Mus musculus: one gene and its partner. The protein of the gene in region 2 purifies or fractionates together with the protein of the main gene of each other region. This does not show direct contact. Links are inferred from orthologs where the notes say so. Each region holds a gene or a part of one and is shown on either strand. Other genes may lie near its edges.

What was found.
Region 1: the proteins of Hat1 (region 2) and Rbbp4 purify together in Homo sapiens (affinity purification with mass spectrometry; 5 studies listed by BioGRID and IntAct, with this or other methods). This does not show direct contact. The link is inferred for Mus musculus from reciprocal best matches to the Homo sapiens genes HAT1 and RBBP4.

Annotation. Positions count from the first base shown.
Region 1 is NC_000070.6:129,314,724-129,318,372, reverse strand, and holds part of Rbbp4 (histone-binding protein RBBP4), read left to right. Parts: intron 1-453; coding exon 454-511; intron 512-614; coding exon 615-725; intron 726-3,649. UniProt on the Homo sapiens protein: Core histone-binding subunit that may target chromatin assembly factors, chromatin remodeling factors and histone deacetylases to their histone substrates in a manner that is regulated by nucleosomal DNA.
Region 2 is NC_000068.7:71,387,917-71,391,665, forward strand, and holds the start of Hat1 (histone acetyltransferase type B catalytic subunit), read left to right. Parts: upstream 1-1,343; 5' UTR 1,344-1,381; coding exon 1,382-1,388; intron 1,389-1,986; coding exon 1,987-2,082; intron 2,083-3,749. UniProt on the Homo sapiens protein: Histone acetyltransferase that plays a role in different biological processes including cell cycle progression, glucose metabolism, histone production or DNA damage repair. Coordinates histone production and acetylation via H4 promoter binding.

The DNA.
Region 1 (3,649 bases), on a different chromosome or scaffold from region 2:
TGATCCCCTCTGTAGACCAGGTTGACTTCAAATTCAAAGAGATTTTCCTGCCTCTGCTTCCTGAGTGCCACCCAGCTTAGCAAAGTTACTGTCTACATTTTTCAATGACAGGTACTGAGTGTAATGATTTCTGACCTTTTCTTTTTAATTTATTTATTTTATGTGTATGGGTATACTTTAGCTGAACAGATGGTTGTGAGCCTTCATGTGGTTGTTGGGAATTGAGTTTTTAGGACCTCTGCTCGCTCCAGGCCAAAGATTTATTTATTATTATTATTACGTAAGTACATTGTAGCTGTCTTCAAATGCTCCAGAATCTCATTGCAGATGGTTGTGAGCCACCATGTGGTTGCTGGTTTGAACTCAGGACCTTCAGAAGAGCAATCAGTGCTCTTACCTGCTGAGCCATCTCACCAGCTCAATTTCTGACTTTTTTGGTTTTTTGTTTTAAAGTAAAATTGGAGAAGAGCAGTCCCCAGAAGATGCAGAGGATGGCCCACCAGAATTGTTGGTATGTTACAAGTCAGACACTTTGGGATCTTCAGTGTTTAAATAATGAGTGGGCTGTGACTTAAAGTGGTCTGTATTTAATGTCTTTGTTTTGGGCCTTCCAGTTTATTCATGGTGGTCACACTGCCAAGATATCTGACTTCTCCTGGAATCCCAATGAGCCTTGGGTGATTTGTTCTGTATCAGAAGACAATATCATGCAAGTGTGGCAGATGGTGAGTGGTTTATTTATTTACTATGGGAAACTAGATCTATGAGACAACATTATTTCTTTCATACCTATGTATGCATATATGATGATCGAGGTATACAAACATTTACACACACTTTGTGGATGCAGCTGTCAGCTGTGTTCAGATTTTTCTTTCAATGTGACTTCCATATTTGTGTCATTTTTCTTTCCTTTGGTCTTTTTTGAGACAGGGTTTCTCTGTGTAACCCTGGCTGTCCTTGAACTCAGAAATCTGCCTGCCTCTGCCTCCCAAGTGCTGGGGTTAAAGGCATGCGCCACCACTGCCCGGCTGGTTTAGTTTTTCAAGATAGGTTTTCTCTGTGTGACCCTGGCTATCCTAGAGCTCACTCTGTAGATCAGGCTGGGTCTACCTGCCTCTGCTTCCCGAGTGCTAGGATTAACAGTGTGCAACACCACCACCACCTGGCTCAACCTTTCTTTTCCTTCTTTTCCTTTATCTGATTGTGCCACTGGTTAGTTTAACTAAAAATTGATCTTTTCATGCCCAGCCTTTTTTAATTTTTTTTTTTCTTTTTTGGTTTTTCGAGATAGGCTTTCTCTGTGTAGCCCTGGCTGTCCTGGAACTCACTTTGTAGACCAGGCTGGCCTCGAACTCAGAAATCCGCCTGCCTCTGCCTCCCAAGTGCTGGGATTAAAGGCGTGTGCCACCACGCCCGGCTTTTTTTTTTTAATATGACTCCAGCCAGTGATAAGGCTGAAGTAGGTTTATTTTTTCCCAGTCTGCTTTTATACCGTTCTAAGTACATGCGAAGAATAAGGTCAGTTCTAGGTCAAGGAAAAAACAAGTCAATAAAAAAAGTCCCATGGCATTCAGGGACTTAATCAAGATAATCAAGATCTTGAGCCTACTCCTTCTCCTAGCCCAGTGTCAAATTCCTGCCAAATTTCTAGAAGTGGCCCCAAGAGCTCTCCACATCTCCCTCTTTTTGATTTTATAAACAAGACTTAGGTTGTTTTGACAAGAAGCATTATCAAAAGCAATGCATTTCTGTCTTAGGTTGATGAGACTTGGTGCAGAATCTTACCTGACTTTGATTGACAGCCTCTTAATGTCTCTGTCTGGGGATCCAGTATTAGTTTCAAGCTGTGTAGGTTGGTCACCAACATTGTTATTGTTAAACACACCCAGCTTACATGTTGATCTTAAGATTCTTTTTTTTTTTTTTTTTTTTTTTTGGTTTTTCGAGACAGGGTTTTTCTGTGTAGCCCTTGGCTGTCCTGGAACTCACTCTGTAGACCAGGCTGGCCTCGAACTCAGAAATCCGCCTGCCTCTGCCTTCCAAGTGCTGGGATTAAAGGCGTGCGCCACCACTCCCGGCTTAAGATTCTTTATATACTTTGCTGTCCCACATCCCACTTGAGAGTTGTATTCCCAAAAATTGTACCTCAGGGCTGAAAGATGATTACATTTCTATAATTTCATTCATTCAGCACTGATAAGGGCCATAGTGTCTGTTTAAGACATGTTACACTGCATAGGTCTATTTGTAGTTACAAAGGAAGCTTTAGACTCCCTGTAGTACAAATTGATTGGGATGCCTGCATCATATGTGTAGCTTGAAGTTGTCTTAGTGTGATGCAAGATTAAAAATACAAGATTTAGGTGGGGTATAGTGGCACATTATGTCAGAAGACAACAAATCTCTTGAGTTTTAGCCTAGACTATGTAGCAAGTTCCAGGACAGCCAGGACTACACAACTACATACAGAGAAACCCTCTAGGATGGGAGGTTACAATAATGATGTGATTATATCAGCTTGTATACCTGAGTGTACAAAAGCCAGGAGAGTCTGGCCGTGCTTGTCTTGAGAGCTATTCTTGGGTGTGCTTGTAGGGTATGATGTTGGACTATTTAAAATATTATATATGCTTTCTGGTGCTTTTCTACTGAGAATGTGGTGAAATAACAATTTTAAAAAGGAATCCAGTGGTAGATTGTATTGTATTAAGTGATAATAGTGAAGGTGTAACCATTAAAGAAAAATAAGGAAAACCAAAACATAAAGTAAAGGCTACAACTACTGATAGAGTCATAGAGCTTTGGGTGTGTTGCTCTGTTTGGGTTTTTTGTTGTTTGTTTCAAGACAGGGTTTCTCTGGTGGCCGTGGATGTCCTAGAACTAGTTCTGTAGACCAGACTGGCCTTGAACTCACAGAGATCTGCCTTTGCCTCCCAAGTGCTGGGCTAAAGGCATAAACCACTATGCCTGACTTTTAGAGCTTTGTTTAAGATGTTAAGATGTACTTATTTCTTTAGTATATGTGCTGCCGAGATCAGCACAAGATGTTATTTCTTTAAAGAGAATTTTAAAATCTTTTAGCAGTTTGTGATGTCACAGCCTTGTATTTAAGATAGTCTTGAGACCATAAAGACCTAACAGGTTTTGTTTTGGATTTATTTACCTGATTGAGTGTTCTTCCTGCTTTTTTTATGTGCCCCATTTGCATGCAGTGCCTTTGGAGGCCGAAGTGAGGGCATCAGATCCCCTTGGCGTGCAGATACTGATGATAGTGGGTGCTTAGAACTGTACCTGGGTTCTTTACCACTGTCCCCCAGTAAAGAATTGTGTTGCTTTGTGGTTTTTTTGTTTTTGTTTTTTGAGATAGGATTTCACTGTGTGAAGCAGGCTGGATTTAATTCATAGCTATCTACCTGCCTCAGCTTTCCAAATGCCAGGGCTTAAGGACTAGAGGAGAGGACAAGCTGGCTTATTGGTGCTCCCTTTTTCTTACTATGTAGCTCTGGCCATCCATCCTCGAACTCACTCTTGTGGACCAGCCTGGCCTTGAATTCATCATCTGCCTCTGCCTCCCCAGTGCTAGGAGTTAAGGCATGCACCACCATCCCCAGGTTATAGAACCCACAGTCTTGTGCATGATCGACAA
Region 2 (3,749 bases):
ACTGCTGCTGACCCATTGTCCTTGCCTCGGGCCAGACAGGTGGCCAGACAGGTGGCGGGCCGGCTTCGGAGGCCTGGACTTGCCTGGACTTGCCCAGGTCTTGGTAAGAGATTTAGGCCTAACCTCCTTAACTGCCAATTTGAAGCCTGTCATGGAGTCAGCCTAGCCTTCTCAAGCGCTGGTATTAGAACCTTGCTAGGCAGAGACCCAACAGTTCTCCAGGAGTCCCTCAGGTCTTCACAGGCAGATTGGGCTGAGGCTCCTAGCTTTGAGGACTGACCACCAGGTTTTCAGCATTTGCTGTGAGACAACCACTGTCTGGCCTCTCCAAGTGTACCACATAAGCCAAGGTGGTAAGTCATCTTTTAATATATGTTCATTCCATTGGTTCCTTCTTTTCTAGAGAGACCCGATATACCAAAGATCAACTTTCCATACGGCATGCATCATTTTAAAGCGTATCAGCAAATGTGTTGACACCAGGGAGTCTGGTATTTGAATACCATCGTAGAGGTAAATAGCAAATTATCCTCTGGGAGAAAAAAAAAAATCCAAAAGCAACTAAATAATAAGGCCCATGATTAAAAATGGGTAGTATCCTATGATTAGTTCAAGCCACTAGGACCTCATACAAGTCCAACTAAATCAAGCCACTTGAGGTAGTGTTAGTAACCACTTTTAGTGAGCTAAATGGTTGTCCAGAAAACTTAAGAGCAAAAGCAGGTATATTTCTAAATTTTACTTTTAATAGTTGTGCACGCTAGCATGTAATCAGAGCACAGCTTTCGGGAGTCTTCCATTTTGGGTCCCTGAGTTCTTTAATATGGCACTATTTTTCAATTTGGGAGCACAAAGAAAGTCTATAATGGGTTAGTGGCAGAGCCTTATGTCTACCATAAGTATGACTCTGAATTGGTCACCCAGCTCCAAAATACGAATAAAATTCAGAGGAACCTTTTAAAATGGGTTATGGCAAAGTTGAATCAAAAAGTTTAAAAACTTCGAAATGAAACCCCCACAGAAAAACTTGCGTTCGGGCCAAAAGATGGGAAGGACAATCGCCTTAAGCTGTTTGAGAATTCACATTAATTTCTAAGCAAGTCTCTAGTGGCCAGCAAGCCGCACAGGCTGGGACGCCGAAGACATGGGGTGAGGGCATCCTCACGTGCGGTGGCTAGGCAACCGCGGGCGCCTTCTCACGGTGCTAGCCCCGCCTCCTGAGGCACTTCCGCCGCCGCGCGCCTGGACCTTCTCCCTCTCATTGGTTCGTGGCTCGCCGAGGATGGGCGGGGGAAACGCGTAAGTCCTTGCGGTCACTTCCGGCCCGGGAGCGCGCGGGTTGATTTGTCCTTCCTCAGCTGCGGGCGCTCGGAGCTCGGAAATGGCGGGTAAGTTCCCGGGAAAAGTTTAGCAAGGGGAGGAGGCGGGTGCTTCTGGGGAAGAACGTTGAGGCGGCCGTGACAGTGGCCGCCTGGAACTTTCGGGCTCTAGCAGAGGTTCCAGAAGGCCTCTCCCTTCCGCGAGGCACTGAGGGTCGGGGACTGGCTCCCGGTGGGCCGCGCTCGGCGCCACCGCCCCCGGTGCTGACGCTCGGCGCCTCCCGTGGGCCTCCCGGGCCTTGAGCTCAGGCAAGGCGCTCAGTTTGGTCTGGTGGAGCGCGGTCTGCCTCGGAGCCTTTCACCCCCTCGTTCCCCTTTGCTCACTGTCGCCCTAATGTAACCCATTAGGTCCAGTTCCCGCCAGCTGATCCTCTCCAGGGCCCTGCCCACCTCCCTCCCAGCCAACTTCTGAGCGAGCGCGGTGCTGCTGCCCTGCCCTGGTTCAGGGCACACTCAGGGTCTCATAACCCTTCAGGATTCCTGAGATCATTGTTTTTTTAGATGTCCTTTGAGAAAGTCGTTTTTACACTGCCCAACTTGTCACTTAGAATGGAACTTCTGTGCTGTGTGTAGTAGAATCCTCTTGCTGTGCTTTATTCGTTTCTAGCCTTGGAGAAATTTCTGGTGGAGTATAAGAGTGCCGTGGAGAAGAAACTAGCAGAGTACAAGTGTAACACCAACACAGCAATCGAGCTGAAACTAGGTGCGTATTTCCTTTCAGAGGAGTTCTGTGTGTGCAGCCCTGTATTTAACAGAGCCTTTAAAATAGGAAACACAGCTTGAGGTTAAGACGATTACGTAACAGGTACTTTCTGCGTTGACTGGACATGGAGATTTTAGGCAGTTCTCTAAGTTCATGCGGTAGAAGGGGTAGGGGAAAGATAGTGATAAGAAAGTGAAAGATAGTGTGGCAGAAAGTATATGTGATCTCATCTTAAAAATTGCAAATACACCAGGCAGTGGTGCCGCATGCCTTTAATCCCAGCACTTGGGAGGCAGAGGCAGGCGGATTTCTGAGTTCGAGGCCAGCCTTGGTCTACAGAGTGAGTTCTAGGACAGCCAGAGCTATACAGAGAAACCCTGTCTCGGGGGAAAAAATTGCAAATGGGGGATGGAGAGATGGCTCAGCTGTTAAGATCATTGACTGTTTTTCCAGAGGTCCTGAGTTCAAATCCCAGCAACCACATGGTGGCTTACAACCATCTGTAATGAGATCTGATGCTCTCTTCTGGTGCTCGTACTTACATATAATCATTCAATCAATCAATCTTCAGGCCCCAGGGAGCAGGACTGGTAAGAGCACTGACTGTTCTTCCGGAGGTCTTGAGTTCAAATCCTAGAAACTACATGGTGACTCACAAACATCTATGATGAGATCGGATGCCCTCTTCTGGTGTGTCTGAAGACAGCTACAGTGTACTTAGATATAATAAATAAATCTTTTTAAAAAAAATTGCAAATATGATAATAACAGCTGTTGGTTAGGATGTGGAAATTCATGGGTTGCTGGTATTATATCTAAAATGATATAACAACTTTGGTTTGGAAAAAAAATTTAAATGTATTTTATGTTCATAAGTGCTTTCTCTATCTTCATGAATACCAGAAGAGGACATCAGATTCCCACCATGTGTTTGCTGGGAATTGAACTCAGGACCTCTGGAAGAGACCAGTGCTCTTTTTTTTTTTTTTTTAAAGATTTATTTATTTATTATATGTAAGTACACTGTAGCTGTCTTCAGACACTCCAGAAGAGGGCGTCAGATCTTGTTACAGATGGTTGTGAGTCACCATGTGGTTGCTGGGATTTGAACTCCGGACCTTCGGAAGAGCAGTCGGGTGCTCTTATCAACTGAGCCATCTCACCAGCCCTAGTTTAAAAAAAAAAACAAACATAAATTAGCTACGTGAGCCAGCCCTTTTATTAGGTGTCTGTTCAAGGGAAGTGAAGATGTTCATTTATACATGAATACTTAAAAGTGAGTTATTTACAATAGCCAAAAAGTGTAAACAACTCATAAAGCAGTTGGTAAACAGATAAAGTATGCCATAGTTATTCAGTGGAATATTGTCTGACAATAGAAGTTCTGATACCTGTCACACAATGTGGAGAAATCTGAAAAACATGCTAAGTAAAAGAAGGCAGGCAAAACCAGTATAGTGTGTCCATTTGTTTAAAATGTTCAGAAAGGACATCTGCAAAGACAGACGGTAGAGAATCATTACCCCAGGCTAAATGTAGGCTCCTGACTGTCCTGGAACTTACTCTGTAAACCAGGCTGGTCTTGTATTTCCCTTAGTGATGGACCTGAAATCATAAGCCATTTAAATCCTTGACAGAGTTGCTTTTAGTCAGTGTTTTATCACAGC